Linked DNA regions of Oryzias latipes. The protein of the gene in region 3 purifies or fractionates together with the protein of the main gene of each other region. This does not show direct contact. Links are inferred from orthologs where the notes say so. Each region holds a gene or a part of one and is shown on either strand. Other genes may lie near its edges.

The links. The genes of interacting proteins can lie anywhere in the genome.
Region 1: the proteins of march5 (region 3) and mfn1 purify together in Homo sapiens (affinity purification with western blotting; 4 studies listed by BioGRID, with this or other methods). This does not show direct contact. The link is inferred for Oryzias latipes from reciprocal best matches to the Homo sapiens genes MARCHF5 and MFN1.
Region 2: the proteins of march5 (region 3) and mfn2 purify together in Homo sapiens (affinity purification with mass spectrometry; 5 studies listed by BioGRID and IntAct, counting the BioPlex papers as one, with this or other methods). This does not show direct contact. The link is inferred for Oryzias latipes from reciprocal best matches to the Homo sapiens genes MARCHF5 and MFN2.

Annotation. Positions count from the first base shown.
Region 1 is NC_019862.2:9,072,155-9,077,114, forward strand, and holds the end of mfn1 (mitofusin-1), read right to left. Parts: intron 4,455-4,960; coding exon 4,258-4,454; intron 3,567-4,257; coding exon 3,432-3,566; intron 2,107-3,431; coding exon 2,037-2,106; 3' UTR 1,370-2,036; downstream 1-1,369. UniProt on the Homo sapiens protein: Mitochondrial outer membrane GTPase that mediates mitochondrial clustering and fusion. Membrane clustering requires GTPase activity. It may involve a major rearrangement of the coiled coil domains.
Region 2 is NC_019865.2:32,486,149-32,491,165, reverse strand, and holds part of mfn2 (mitofusin-2), read right to left. Parts: intron 1,601-5,017; coding exon 1,438-1,600; intron 1,366-1,437; coding exon 1,241-1,365; intron 1,172-1,240; coding exon 1,063-1,171; intron 995-1,062; coding exon 887-994; intron 1-886. UniProt on the Homo sapiens protein: Mitochondrial outer membrane GTPase that mediates mitochondrial clustering and fusion. Mitochondria are highly dynamic organelles, and their morphology is determined by the equilibrium between mitochondrial fusion and fission events.
Region 3 is NC_019873.2:3,259,569-3,265,179, reverse strand, and holds the start of march5 (E3 ubiquitin-protein ligase MARCH5), read right to left. Parts: upstream 3,262-5,611; 5' UTR 2,943-3,261; coding exon 2,899-2,942; intron 1-2,898. Other genes in the region: cpeb3 (cytoplasmic polyadenylation element-binding protein 3), read left to right, coding at 3,977-4,076, 5,259-5,611. UniProt on the Homo sapiens protein: Mitochondrial E3 ubiquitin-protein ligase that plays a crucial role in the control of mitochondrial morphology by acting as a positive regulator of mitochondrial fission and as an important regulator of immune response.

The DNA.
Region 1 (4,960 bases), on a different chromosome or scaffold from region 3:
AAAAAAAAAAGTTTTAAAAAAAGAGGTGTTGATTTTTTGATTTGCTTGGCATCATAAAATTTGACCATAAAAAATACATTTTTTTTGCATTTTAAATTGGAGCTGTATACCACCCTGATGCCAGAATTACAACCCCACCCCAGAATGCTGAATATACTATTTGAAAAAAAGCGTACTGTTGATGTTTATAAAACACTTCAAGCTGGATTAAATTTGAGTTTGTAATGAGGTTATTGCTTAGAAGACTTTGTCATCTGCACATGTTGGAAATTCCCACATTGCTTTAGTTTGTCAGGGGCTCCTTTATGATCTCATTCAAGAAAATTCTGCACCAAAATTCTTTTGTTTCATCAGTAACTGCATCCTATTTCAAAACATTTGACTCTTGTAAATAAAAAAGGAAGTTTTAGCCGCTACCACACCTAAATTCATAACTTAAGGATTGTATCCTTTAACACTGAAATGTTCCTAAAATGTTGAACTGTTCCACTGAACCCAGCCTTTTCCAGCTTCCATGTTTGCAGAACTTTGTGAAAAACCCACAAAACACCGTAGTCCTTAAGAGAAGGAGAGGGAGACCGTGATGTTTAGCAGGCTAACATGTCGCTCTGTGTAAATCAGCCGCTGGAGCCTGGAATAGAAACACATGTGCCTGTGCAGTTCACTAACGCAAGTAAACTCTAAAATCAAAGAGAGGTGCTTTGACGAAGGTGTTTCCTTCACCTTGTTGCTCCACCAGTTCTTGTTGTTTTTCTCTAAAATCAGTCAGATCAATTGATTTTAGTGACAGTTTAAGTGAATGTGGATCAGTAAAGATGACTGGATTGGTGGTTGCTGCTTGGTTTCTGCAGTTTACTGTGACTTTCTCCATCCTCGAGTTAAACCTGAACGCTCGCTGTGAACCGCACGGCTGCCATCACAGAACTGTCGTCTTTTGCCTCCTACAACTTACTGTTCTGTTTTTATTTTTAGTGTCTTTTTGCCAGTAAAGACCAGGGACTTTGGTGCCATATAATTCTTTTACAGTGCTATTGTGTGAAATTATAATCACTTGGTATGGAATAATTTTTATAGTCCTTTTCACACCAAACCCTTTTTTTGTATTTGTACAGTGGCTTGGTGATACTGGTATGTTGCCATGAGTTATTGTGACCAATAAACAAAAAAAACTTTAACAAAGAGTTTTCATGCCTGTTGGTATTATTTAGAATCTGAAAGCGTGCAGAAAATGCATGACACGTTTTACAGGTGTAATATGCGGCTTGATGGATTTGCATCCAACACACAACTCCCTTTTGTGTTTTTTCAGGAAGTCAGAGGCGTTTAACACGAGCACGGTGGGCTGGAACGTTCATATGAAGGCACGCACTTTGTTTGAGAACCATTTATTACATTCTGGGAGTATTTCCACATTTGTTCAAGAGAAGAAAAAAAAAAGATTACAAAATAATCGGGCCCAACTGTTGTACTATAGAACATATAAATATAATATTACAAAATATTTGAAAGGTTGTTAAAAATGCAGCATCAGATTTGATTGCTAAACCTAAAATCTATTTGGGGGTTTTCTAATAAATGCTTTTATTGTGAAATTCTGTTCAGGCAGTTGATGTTTGGAGGCAAATACTTGAGCAAACATGCCATCTTAATGTGTTCTTTAACAGGTAATCTGAAAGAACCATACTGAAAATGAGTGCCAGAGCATGTTAACGTGAAAATACAGCATCGCAGTTTCATGACTGAGGGGCTGAGAAACACATCAAATTAAGATTCTTTTAATCAACATTACAGATTATTTGTATTTTATTGAAATGGAAAAGAAAAAAAAAAAAACAGAAACAATTGAAACCAGACTTATCATATTTAGGGATTGTAGTTTTGTTTTTCTGCATTCCAATGTGTAGAAATGTTTTTTTGTTGTTGAGTTTTCTGGTGTTGTAGTTTTTTTTTTGTAAAAGATTTGTAAGCGGGGCTCTGATCTGAGGAATGAGGAGCTCCATGAGAGCCAAAGAGCCGAGGGAGGAGATGGAGCATCTTCACTCCTGTGGCTGCAGGTACTGCTGTGTAAATTCCTCCAGTTGTCTCTCCAGCTCTGTCGCTTTATGCCTGCAATGCAAAAGAAAACAAAAACAAAATTGACCCAGTTTAATCAAAGGATCATTATAGTCATCTATACCATGGTATGGGTGAATAGAAAGTAATCATGGATACCCATAAAGAAGTAGCCTGAATGCTCTACATAACTAAGCTGGTATAAGCACCAGCTGGTTAAGGGACCAACGGAAACTCACAACACGAGTGGACATTCGTTGTTCCAGTTTATCCCAACAGCAATGTTGCCTTTAAATCAAGTCATTTGTTGTCTGTCTTGATTCAGAGTGAACCCATGTTTATAAATTAGTTCATTATTAATTACTAAAAGAATGTTGTTATTCATTTTATCAGAGTTAATGGGGGATATTTCTTGCAGTAAAAGCGATCAAGGAAACTGCTTGTGAACTTTGTTTGCTTCATCATCGGGTAATAACAAGCATTCTGAGCCAAAGTTTCCCTCTGAAATGATGCTTGTATCACTCGTAAGAGCCACTCTGATGAAAATGGTGTTTTATCGTGTTGTTGTGGAGCGGATGAAAAAATGCTGTTTGAAAAAGATGATGTTGGTTATTTAGGAACTACTTTGGCAGGCCACATCCAACTGCAGACAAATAGATCCATGGCCGTCTTTGTTTTCCTCGTCTGAGTTGGTTTCTGGCTCAAAACTGTACGGCCGGATAGCTCCTCGCCATTTTTGTGCCTCCGGTAATGTTAGGTTGGGGGTTTGAGGGGCTGTAAGTTAGCGGGAGAGCATGTAAACAGATGGATGACAGTAAGGGGGCGGGGTTACTCTGTGCCAACAGTCCCGCCCATATCTCAGATGCGCATTTTTAATAAAGTCCTGCCGCTCTGTGTAAATGATGTCCTAGAAAACGACAAGCTTTTGGATTAAAAACAGTTTAACCCTAAAACCACTGGGGGGCACTTTGAAAATAGATCAAAAGATGATCAGAGTGGGTCTTTAACATGAGATTTATCTTACATACTACTTTACTTCCTAGGTTAGTCTTTATACACCTGCTGCGGCAGAGTGAGGTTGGTGCAGGCTCTGTAGTCGTTACCATGACAACACGTCACATCACATATCAAATAGTCCCCCTATTGTGAAAAGGGATTTCTTTCATAAGTGACCATGGTATAAACGGGATGCTGTCCTTCGAGGTGTCCATCAGAAATTCATGGACATCGGACGGTTGCTTCCGCAAAGTCCATGAATTTCAGTAAATGGATACTTTGTCTGGCATTATGACTCACTTATGATCCAAGGCATAAAATATTGTGAGAATTCCCACAACAGATTGTAGAGATCCTTCAGTGACTTAAGGAGTTGTACTGACCGCAGGCTCTTTGAGCGACTCTGGACCTTCTCCATCTGATCTATCTTGTCTGTCAGTTGACGGATGTCTGCCTCCAGCTCTTTCTGTGTCTGGTCCACCTGCTGACAGAGCCGAGCAAAGGTCGTAGCCATCTCCCTGGCAACACAGAAGGCACATTGTCATTCTACTTATTTATTTAGCTCGGATACAGAAGAGAGGGACGGCAGGGGATGAGCTTTGTGCGCATGCGTGTGTGTTTGTGTGTGTGTGTGTGAAGGTTTGCATCGATATGTAACAAAGACTCAAGTGACTGGAATTAAAATCCAAACAAAATAATGAAATCAATAATAACATAATCCTATAAAGATACCCTAAAACACGGGTATAAACGGGTAAAAAATGATCAGGAATCGTAAAGTAGCAAAAAAAATGACAAATATGATTAAAATTACATTAAAAAGTAAAGATTTTCCATTTAAAACCAAACTATTTGTTACACTGAATTGTGGGGAAAAGGAGTCATTGCATCACCGCTGTATATGTTTACATATGTTTATATTGAAAGTGTCAAACACGTGAATATGCCAAATTTAACGCTGTTACATCAGCCTTAGTACAACTGGAAGGTGTTACTTGCTTATAAGCGTATTAAATAAATTGACTTTTCAACATGTTTTTTTTTTTTTTTGTAATTTACAAAATCCCATTTCAAACTGAAACAAAACCTTGATGTTAAAACAAAAATGATGATAATCGAGGTTTGAGCCGAATCGTGGGGAGAGTGAATTGTTGCATGCCGACTGAAAAGCATCATGTCCCGAGAAGCCAAAGCCGTGTGGAAACTTACTGCTGGACCTGGTGACTGCAGTTAGCACTTGTGAAGCTCACGATGAGCTGCAGCTTCTCGGTTGCGTAATCCACAAACTGCCGCTTCAGAGCTCGCTCCTTCGCCTTCGTGGTCCACGTGAGTCTCTCGTACAGGTACAGCACGCCGTAAAGAGAAGCCGACAGAGCGATGAGCCTCCAGCCCACCGTTTTCCACACCTGAGGGGGAAACGCAACAAAAAATATTCATCTGTCAAAAAATGTAAGACTAAAGAAACAAACGCAACGTATCACGCAAATATTTTCACACAAATCAGGGACGACACAGTCATTTAAAACACTTAGATTTTTAAGTAATAACAGCTTAGAGTAGTCTCAATAGCTTATCATTACTGACAAAATAATGTTTATATTTTACTTTATTGTTTTATGTTGGGTTGATTGTTGTTTTATACTTTGATTTTTTTTGAAGAATATGTACAGATATATATTTGTGTACTACACTCTATATATTGTAGTATATTTTGAAATTTTGTCACATTAAAATGAAAAAAATAATACAAATCTATTCAGTCGCCATTTTGTCATATACCAACGCCACCGTGTTGGGATCAGACGTTATCACAAAGCAGTGATTGGTCCGAGTCGATCTGAGTCATTTCTTTGGCAACCACTCGAGCCAATCAATAGTGAGCTTCTTGGGAGGCCACACCCCTACCAATTGA
Region 2 (5,017 bases), on a different chromosome or scaffold from region 3:
GACACAATTATTTAAACACAAGTCCAAAAAGGGAGTAAGAAGAAAAATCTTATACTTAACTTTGATTCCAAGAGCGTGTTCATTTATTTATTATTCATCTCAGAAATGGGGGTTACATTTGTCTTGCATTTGATTAAATAAAAAGCAACATTTGCTTGAACTTGTCTGTTTGTACTTATTGCTTTCCTTAAGTAGGGTGGGGGGGGGGGGGGGGGGGGAATCGGGAAAAAATCGGAAATCGAATTAAAGAAAATAAAATCGGAGATTTTATTTTTAGGCCATATCGCCCAGCCCTAATATCCACTCATGCATCCAACCGTTCAACCACCCATGCATCCATCCATACATCCACCCATTCATCCATCCATCCATCCAGCCATGCATCCAGCCATGCATCCATCCATCCACTCATCCATCCATCCATCCACCCATGCATTCATCCATCCACCCAGGCATCCACCCATCCATCCATTCATCCACCCATCCATCCATCCACCCATCCATCCACCCATGCATCGTCCCATCCATCCATTCATCCACCCATCCATCCATCCATCCATCCATCCACCCATCCACCTATGCATCCACCCATGCATCCATCCATCCATGCATCCATCAATCCATCTATGCATCCACCCATCCATCCACCCATGCATCGTCCCTTCCATCCATCCATCCACCCATCCACTCATCCATCCATCCATGCATCCATCCACACACACACACACACTTTTGAAATGTCATTTTTGTTGTTGCATACATTGATTCTCCGTCCACTTAATCTACACGGGACGAAATCTGCTTCAAACTTAACTTTCTCTCCACCTCTATAGTTAAAGCTGGAGTCAGTTGCCAGGCAACAAAGGCTTCCATGAGGGGAACTAACCTCGTCCATGTACTCGGGCTCAGAGGCTGAGGCGTCCCAGCGGTTGTTGAGAATGAAAATGTTGGGGCTGGAGAGACGCTCGTTGACCTTGTGGAAGAAAGACTTCTCCTGCAGACAGACACACAGTTAGCTCCGTGGGACCATGGGCCATTTGGCAGAGGGTCTGACCGTCTCACCGTCTGCATCAGGGTGGACTCAGAGTTTGCCACTAGAACAAACACGTCCGCATCCAGGCAGAACTTGTCGATCCAGCTGTCCAATTCGGTGGTCACGTCGATCCCTGGGCTGGGGGGGTGAGGGCAGACGGGTCAGCTCAGACCACCTCCTGTCACATTCCACAAGCCAACAACTGACCTGTCAACCAGTACCAGGTCATCTCTGAGCAGGGCACACTTGACTTTGGGCCACATGACGCATACCAGGCTGCCAGCGTCCAGGTCCTGGTCCTGATGGAGAGCGTGGGCCAGCTGGTTGACCGTCTGACACAGACAGGAGTGTCACTGGGAAGGCCCCACCATGGCAGCCAGCATGAATGACGCCAACAGACTCACCTTAATGCTCTTCTTTTCCTCCGAGCCCTCGGTGAGGAGAAAGCCCTCACTGCCGTCTGTGCCCTCCACCCTCAGGAAGCAGTTGGTGGTATGTCCGATTCCAGATGGCAGGACTTTGTCACACAGCATGGCATTGATGACTGTGCTTTTCCCATTACTGGTCCTAAAGAGCGGAAATGAGACAGCTTAGCTGCAGTGCATCCCCTCGCCTGCTTCTCCTTTCACCTTAGAGGTCAAAGTGTGAGCAGGAGACCCCTCCCTCCAGCTAAAACAACGGTACCTGGATCTGAGAGCAGGAGTAACTTTCAATGATCATCTTTTGATCAGAGTGGATCAGTTTTCTCGACTATTTTAACCTCTTCTGGAATGTTAGCTGTTAATCTGGTCTGTAGAAACGGGGGTGATTCCAGACCCCTACTACATTTGATCTTACTAATATCTATTTTATTATGGGGAGCACTTTGAGATGCTTTGTACCAGGAGAAGTGCCTAACAAATAAAGTTGAGTTTGAATATGAGTTTACTAGCTTACAGCCCTCACACCCCAAAGCTGACATTGATGGTGCAACAACAATGGCAGCAATATCAGAGCTATCCAGCTCCTCAGTTTACATCCAGATTCCAGCTCAGACCAGGAAAACAAAGACGTATTTGAGACGTAATTACAGTTTTTTCAATTGTTTACACACAATTTTGCAAACCAGGTTCCATTTCTCAAAATATAAATCACAATGATCCAAACAGAACACTCAATTTGCAGAATTCCTAGACTGTTTGCAAAATGACACATTTCAGTAAAACATACATGTTTGTGAAAATGTCGCTAGTTTTTATTTAACCATGACGGTCCTCAGGGATCAAACACTATTGCTGACAGTTTCACACTGCTGTGATAAATAAAAAACACAACTGTAAAAAAAAACCATTTTAGGAAATTTGGTCAGACGTAAGGGATCATTTCACCGACCTGGTAGAATGATCCCTCACATAGTGAAGAATCACATGCCTGCTCCATGGCCTGAATGAGGGGCAAACGGTCTTATGGCTGCAGGTCGTATACCTTTCACTGCCATGTTGAAAAACCTCTTCCATTGGATTCAGGAAGGGGGGGGGGGGGTATGGGGGAAGGTAGAGGACTCCAAATTCAGGGAGAGGATGGAACCAATTGTGGACCAGAGCAGCTGACGGAACGACAATGTCCTGCATCTGGTCCACTTGGTTTAATGCTGTGACATTCGTGTACAATCTGTCAAGAAATACAAGCACTAGATCTGCATGATAGGGTTCCAGATTTGCGCGGTGGTGGATGACCCATTTTGTGTGGTAGCAGCACAGAAGGTGTTGTTACCCCCTTGCTGCCCCGGCACATTGACGATTGTGTGTTCAAATTAGCACGTGTGCTTTCCCACCTTGTGGATGTGAGGATCCAATTCATTCATTTGTGTGGTCATTGGCAATCCTGGGCTTTGTAATGTCCAGGAAGTAAGCACACAATCCTTATCTGTGTTGAAATGTTTGTTTAGTTTCACAGATTACTGTGTGTAATGTTGTGCAAGAAGAGTGACGCAGACATTGTGTGTAATGTTGTGCTAATCTATGGCAGTGTTTTGCTCTTTGGAGTAGAATTTTGCAAATTGTGTGTAGATTTTTATTTCAGAGTGAAATCAACATTAAAAACTGTAGTACGCTGTGGTACCCCAATGATTAACTACGTCACAAATACAATGCTTTTCAAACGGCCTTTTTTCCTCTGCTCCTGATTGACAATCATGGAGAAATACTCAGAAATGCCATTTTAATGTGAACTTTCTTTCTTTCAAGCATCAGTTATCAGAAAAATACCACAACATGCTAAAAAGTCCAAAAACATCATTTTCACTGGAGTGGGTCTTTAAAGCGGGCTGTGGCTTTAAAATAAAACCATCTTGCTGGTTTTATTTGTATTACCCAAGGAGTTCTATCGCTAGAGGAGACATCACGTGGTTCCTCATGGGAGGAGAGCACCGCCATCTTGGTGAGGTCAAGTCACTGCTGCAGTTCATTGCATGTGAACACATTTAATGCAAAATTCCAACTGACAAAATCAGAGAAATGAGTCCACGAAGGAGGAAGGCATAACATTTCACATGTAGGTACGATAATTGTTTTCTTTTAATGCTGCAGGGGCTTCATTAATATTACACATGCTGACATGCATGATGCTGCAGGGCCTTTATCAACATGCTGCATGATGTACGGATAATTTGCTGTCAACATAAAAGTAAACTTTATTTTGTTAAACCTTTATACAGTATACTAGGACTAGGCTATTACAGTAATATAGAAATATACATTTCTGACTCAGTGACTGAACTTTTCTTGCAGGTTTCCAATGGATTCAGACTTCAGGAAAAAGTTGGCCTTAGCAATAAAAAGAGTTAACCCAGATGGATCACTGTGGTACCAACTAGTAATACAGTCTGGTTATGTTCAAAAGATTTGGTGGAAACAGATTTTGATAAGAGGCCAGACTGTTGGCTTGAAACCCGACACCATAACATCTGTGTTACACCAAATTGATGACTCACATGAATCAGTAAATCTATTGTTTTTCTTTTTCTTTTTTAGGGTAAACCTGTTGTTGACATTTTGCCCTATTGTTGACTTATTATTGATTTATTATTATTATTTGACGTTTTATTAATTTATTATTATTATGTATTATTATTGACTTATTGTTGGGCTTTTCTAAATAATTTAAGTTGCATGTCAAAGAGGTCTAAAACTTCTAAATGTTTAAAAATCATTTTTAAACATTCTTTGTAATAATGTTTTTTTCAATAAGTCCTGCAAATATGCATTTTTCATTAAAGTTGGAGCTTATAAGGCTGACAGTTTCTCTTCTTTAACAACAACAAATGATGTATATGTATAAATATTATATGTATAATATATAATTTATTTATATATGTATAAACCTACATATATATATATAAATTAGATAAAAGCTACTAAGATGCCACCAAAGGCTATAGAAATCATTGTCATGTGGGCGCCGTCGACCTCACCAAGATGGCGTCACGCTCCGCCACCGGTGGCCAGGCTTCCCAAGCGGTTGTGTCTCCTCTAGCGACTTAACTCATTGGTATTTCCTCACCTTCTCCTGACATAGTCCCGCCTCCCTGGTGAGGGAGCTGGTAGGTGGGGGAGGGAGGTGTCAGAGGGTGAGAATGACTTTCAGCTTTTCATCAGACGAAGACAGGAGAGGGCAGCAGAGGAAGGAAGAAGCATGTCTTCAGCACAGGCACACCTGAGCCCATAAACTGGAGCAAATGTCTCCTAAGTGAGCGCCACAGTGAGCTGGTCTTCAACCACAGCATCAGGAAACCGTTGGCTTTTACAGCTTTTTTCCGTCGAGGTTGCCACAGCGAACCAGCCTCCTCCATCTAACCCTGGAAGGTGTTTCCACCTTTCTTTAAAAACCAACCACCATCTGTCCTTCAACATTCCTCTCCTGAATACCACACCTGTCCATCACATTCCATTGAAATCTGCACCAATGACAACTCTCTCACTTCCAGTGATCCTCACCATCACTTCA
Region 3 (5,611 bases):
CTATTTTTTTTATATACCGCAAATTATATCGTTATCGCAATATTAATTACTAATATTGTATATCACGTGTTTTCCTCATATCGTGCAGCCCTAATTTATATATATGAATATATAAAATGAATTCTGAACAAGGGAACCTTCAAACGAGTAACTTATATGTCTATACTGTAAATATGTAAATACAGTAATGTTTGTGTCCAACGCTCACTTTATGACAGATACATGAAATAAAGCAGCTTTTTTCTAAACTTTAAAAGTAAAAAGCAAAAGCATTTTCATGAGCACCAGCAGACGAGTCAAATCTATTTAAAAATAACTTAGGTCAATGGGTCAGTGGTCCAACATTAATGGACACATGACAAAATCCAGCAGTGCTTTAAAAAGGTTCCTTTGCAAAAAGATCTTGACAATTCATAGAGAAAAGGGAGACTTTTCAGCAATAAGGAATGTGGTGAACCGTTGTGTAAGTTAGAGTTCAGACTGGATCAAATGTCTCCCTCACACATTTGTGAAACACTGCATTGCAGTGGCAGCTGGTAGCCAGCCCAGATAAGAGCCGTCTGTTTGCCACCGATAGTCTGGGTACACAACTGTGTACGTGGCGTACACCTCACTACTATCAGCTTCCTGTACACAAAGGGGAGCTCTGCCCCACACCTGCAATACGCAGCTGAGGCACATGCATTTTCTTTTAATGCTTAAAAGATTATTTCAAAGCTCAATATTGACAGAATGTGCAACCAGAAATGACTTGTATAAGCCTTTATCAGATTCTGTCAGTGCTGTGGGCCTCGGGGTCCTGTCTGTGCACAGAAATGCTTGGGGAGCGTCATCGGTGTGTGGTTAGACGTAGGTGCTACATGACATTCAACTCACTCTACATCATGGCACGGCTGGTTATCTAGTTTGAAGAGCGCTTTCAGGCCCCAACTGATTTACATCAATACTATTGACTATCAAAAGAAGAATTTCTATTCAATAAATTGATATCCAAGTCCCTAACTTTTTGACACCATTGACCGCCCAGTGGCCTTTAAGTCAGGTCAAAAAAACGATGCAACCAAGATTAAGAAAATAAGAACCTAGAATACCTACAGCCTTACAAAGAGTTCTGGTGTTCACTGGGTCACTAAAAGAGGGATTTGATGGAAAGACTGCTTCGTGAAATGGGGCGGCAGTGGCTCAGGCAGTAGCTCCAGTGCGGCTCCACTGGAGTATAAATGTGCATGAACGTCCTGGTGATGGTCAGAGGGACCGTAGGTGTGAACTGGCAGCCTGTTCACATTGTGCGCTGAGGAGCTGTCACTTTAACCCAATGCATCATGGGAGATGTAGTGTGAAACTGCCGCCGAGGGCAGAGAGACTCGCATCTCTGAGCTTCATGGTTTTGTTCACTTGTTCCACGGTCTGACACCGGATTCTGTGGAAAGCTACACCGCTAAAGACGAGCTTTAGCTGGTATTTTTGTTAGAACTGAGAGACTTTATGAACAGAATCTGAAGAAGGAAGTGAAGAATTTAACCACTTCTGATTGGTCAGACTGATGACGTGTGATTAAGCCTCCAAGAATGATTGGTGGAGACAGTTAAAGGGGCGGGACTTTTCATAAAACAGAGCTGCAGCGGCTAAATCGCGGTACCGTCATTCTTATCAAAATGTCTTTTATAGAATCAAATGAACACAAAGAAAAAGTATTTTACGATCTTTCATATTCCTAACTACTCAGTGTTTTATCAGGACCTGTTTGGATGAACACAGAGCTGAAATCCTGGAGATGGGAAATGTTTTTAGATCAGTGAATGAGGACAATCTCCCACGGCACACTAGTGGGCCATGCCACACCGGTTGAAAAACAACACAAATGGACCGGGCATTTCCAGATGTCACGCTGTTAACACAGGTTCTTGGGGCAGACGCCCACTAACCTCTCTTAGTAGAGCAGCTTGTGTCCTCAGGTACACCTGGGGGCAACAGCCGCTCTTTGCTAATGACACAGCTAATTTGACAAACGTTTAAAGACCCAGTCTGATGAAAATGTCATTTTTAACATGTTCTTGTGGTATTTTTCTGATAAGCTTAAAAACGCATTTCTGAGGTTTTCTTTATTTAAATCATTATAAATCAGGAGCAGACAAAAATATGCAGTTGGAAAAGGAGCTTGTTTGTGATGTAGAGAATCTGCTGGGCAGGATTTAAGCTTCCTGCTCTGCTCCATTCTGATCATCCACCTGCAGACAAATAGATTCATGAAGGTCTTTGTTTTCCTGGTCTTAGCTGGAATCTGGATCAGAACTGGACGCCTGGATAGATCTGACATTGCTCGTCATTTCTGCTGCACTGCTGATGTTAGGTTGGGGTTGTAATGCTGGTGAACGCTAGCGGGGGAGGGTGTAAATAGAGAGCTCAGATATTGGGTGACGGGAAGGGGAGCGGCTTGCTCCACGCCAAAAGTCGTGCTCACTCTGAGGCAAATTACTGATGAACTCCTGCTGCTCTGCAGAAACTATGTCCTATAAAAACAACACAGGTTTGATCATTTTGGCTAAAAACTGGAAAATCCTAATTCAAAAGGTCATTGGGAAGACTTTTACAATAAATCAAAAGATCCTCATAGGGACTCACAAATATGCATAAACTTACAAACAATGAATCACTTCAGAACTGAAAGCATTTTCCTCCTGAACAAGTACCAAAACTCAATTATCATGTTTTAATACTATAGTAGTACTGTATAATGTTTGGTTAATGAGAGAGGTCTTTATTTGGATTCTGTTAAGTGTTTATACAGTACGAGACACAGAAATGTGCGTTCATAGCAATGAGCTATTATTTCAGATAGCATCAGTATACATACGCGGGGGGGGGGGGGGGGGGCAGCGTGTTGTTGCTGGAACTCACCTGTCCAGGTTCTGCTGCGCGACCACTGCAGCCTCTTCCGCCATTGTAGTGGGGATGTGGGGTCGAAATTCTCCCTATTGCTGTCAATATTTAACTGCAGTAAACATACATTTACTCGAAATCCAGCCCCTGATGACTCGGTTAGCTAGCTTGGTTAGCCGCACGGGCTCGTGCGTTGGTTTCCCGCGTCAGCCGCAGTCCAACAACAATATTATCTACGGCCTAATAGTCATGTCTATCCGAATAGCAACGATCTACGGACTATGTGCTATTCCGGGTAGAAATCCTTTTTAAACCTGTTACGGCCTCGTTTGCGTGACCGTTTGACTCCATTGACTGGCCGTCTCTGAGGTAACGTAAGGTACCGTGTGTCTGACGTCATCAACATAAGCCCAAAACGGAAGTTAGCTGGAAAATTTTAAAAATAAAGACATAAGTTTGTTTACTACGATTTTTAGCAAACATATTAGTTTAAAAATATTTATGTTTACATTTTTAGAGGTTTTCTGCTATATACGCCAGGATATGAAGACAAAAATAAGAATTCTTTCAATAATTGCGTCCGGATCTCCGTTACGCAAGAACGGAGACCACATAATTCCTACCTGACGTTTTTTCACAAGAAATTTCACGTCTTATTTCATAAATTAATTCAGACTTTAAATACAAGCCTTACACCAATTTTAAAACATTAAATACCTTTTTGAATAACTGGTGCTGTCATTACAAGTCCCGTTCAACTACAAGTCCCATCAGCCACCTCGGTATTATCCATGCGCTGCAGTCAATCAGCTGTTGAGGCAACTGCTGACTACTTCGGCACCACCAGGGCAGCTCGTTTGTGAAATCCAAAGCCCGACGAGGCGTGGAGAAGTAGCTTTATTCACAGTCTCAGAAAGGTGAACGATAAAGGTAATGGCAGTTTAACGGAGGGGCGACGTCACCGCGCGTGCATGCTGTTCTGACGTTTACAGGACATATCAAAGAGGGATTTCACGGCAACATCGTGTCATGTAAACGGGGATGTCTCGACCACACTAGCTGCTTCAAGTGTCAGCTGTTTTGGTCAGGGTGTGTGATGAAAAGGCCAGAGAGGGGAGCCCCCCCAGGCAGCTCAGTCTCCCGCGTCCATGACCTTGGAAGCGTTTCTCTTGGAGGAGAAAACACCGAATTCCCCGGTGGGCTGAGTGCAGCGAGTGTTTCATTGAAAGTCCTGCTGGTTGTTTTTTTATTTCGATTATGTTGTTAAAATGATCTGACACACGTGGAGTATTGATTGAAAACATCCGTGCTATTAAAAGGCCTGAAAACGATGCTTGTTTCAGTGTCACCACAGCTTTAAATTGTCGTCAAATCTTTGCTGATCATTGGCCAGGCAGAGTTTGATTTATTGTTGTGCCTCTAAAACTAGTTCAAATGACACATGTTACTGTGTGCTTTGAGTATTTCTTATTCTCAACAGCTAGAAATGTTGTTGTTTTTTTATTCAGTCTGTAAATCTAACCTAACTTGCGGCATATTTGCAGAATGTGCGCTGGATTTACGCAAGGCGTTGAGCCGAAGCAACGCACAAGGAGCACATTTATGCTGCAAACTAAGTCCTTTTTCTGTGTTTATAGAGAATAAAGACTTTTCTAGTGGCACTATATTGTGATCCTTAGGTTTATATCGGTTGAAATGGCGAGGGACACTCTGTTCCACGAGGGGAAATGGGATCAGTGGGAATGCGGTCCTGTCTCATTTTACGCAATAAGAAAAATCGGACAGATGATCGTGAGGATTTATTTTCGGTGAGACCTCCGGTAGTTGTGGTGATTCTTATTCACCGAATCTGCCCAAAATGTAAGGAAACAGCAAACAAAAAAAGCCCTAAGTTTTCCAGTTGCGCAGTTTTCAGTTAAAGGGAAATAAACGGAACGAGGTGTCCGCTTCCAGCAGGAAAGGTCCAGTGGTCGCTCATGTCATGTCAGAGCAAAAGCGCCTTTTCACCTTGTGGAAGGACAGCTGTATTTACTGACGTATGGAAATGAGAGCAGGGGAGGCGCTTGGAGGGCAGAGGACGACCAGTTTCACATTGCAGCCCTGGAGTTCCTGCGTGGAAGGAAAAACGAGACGTGGCGAAATCTGGTGAATATCAGCCGCAGTCGCCTCGCTCGGCTGGAGGGGTTCCTGCTGGGCGCTGTGGTCTCGGGAAGAGGCCGTTTGTTCTGCTTTCGGATAAATGGACGATCAGCGCTCGGCTTGCAGCCGGCCGGTCCAAACGTTATCTCGGTGTCGGAGTTGTCCCCAGCCCGGTGTTTGAGCTCCTCACCTCCGCTCCGGCCACATTAACAGCCCGTGTCTGTTTCCTCCCGTTGCAGCTTCCCAAACCATGCAGGATGATTTACTGATGGACAAAAACAAAGGCCAGCCTCCGTATCAGCAAGAGCCCACGCAAGAACCCCCTCCATCCACGCCGACCCCATCATCGGAGCCTTCCTCCTCAGCCTCCGACTCGGACAGCCCGTCCAGCGGGAGCATCCAGGCGCAGAGCAGCAAGGACAAGGCGCCGATGGAGTCCCCCATCCTGCCCGGCCTGAGCTTCCCCCAGCAGCCTCAAGAGACCGGCGGGCCCCTCTCCGCCCCCTCCTCCACCTTTGGAAGCACTTGGTCCACGGGGACCACGAACGCTGTGGATGACAGCTTTTTTCAAGGAATACCCTCCGTGAACGGG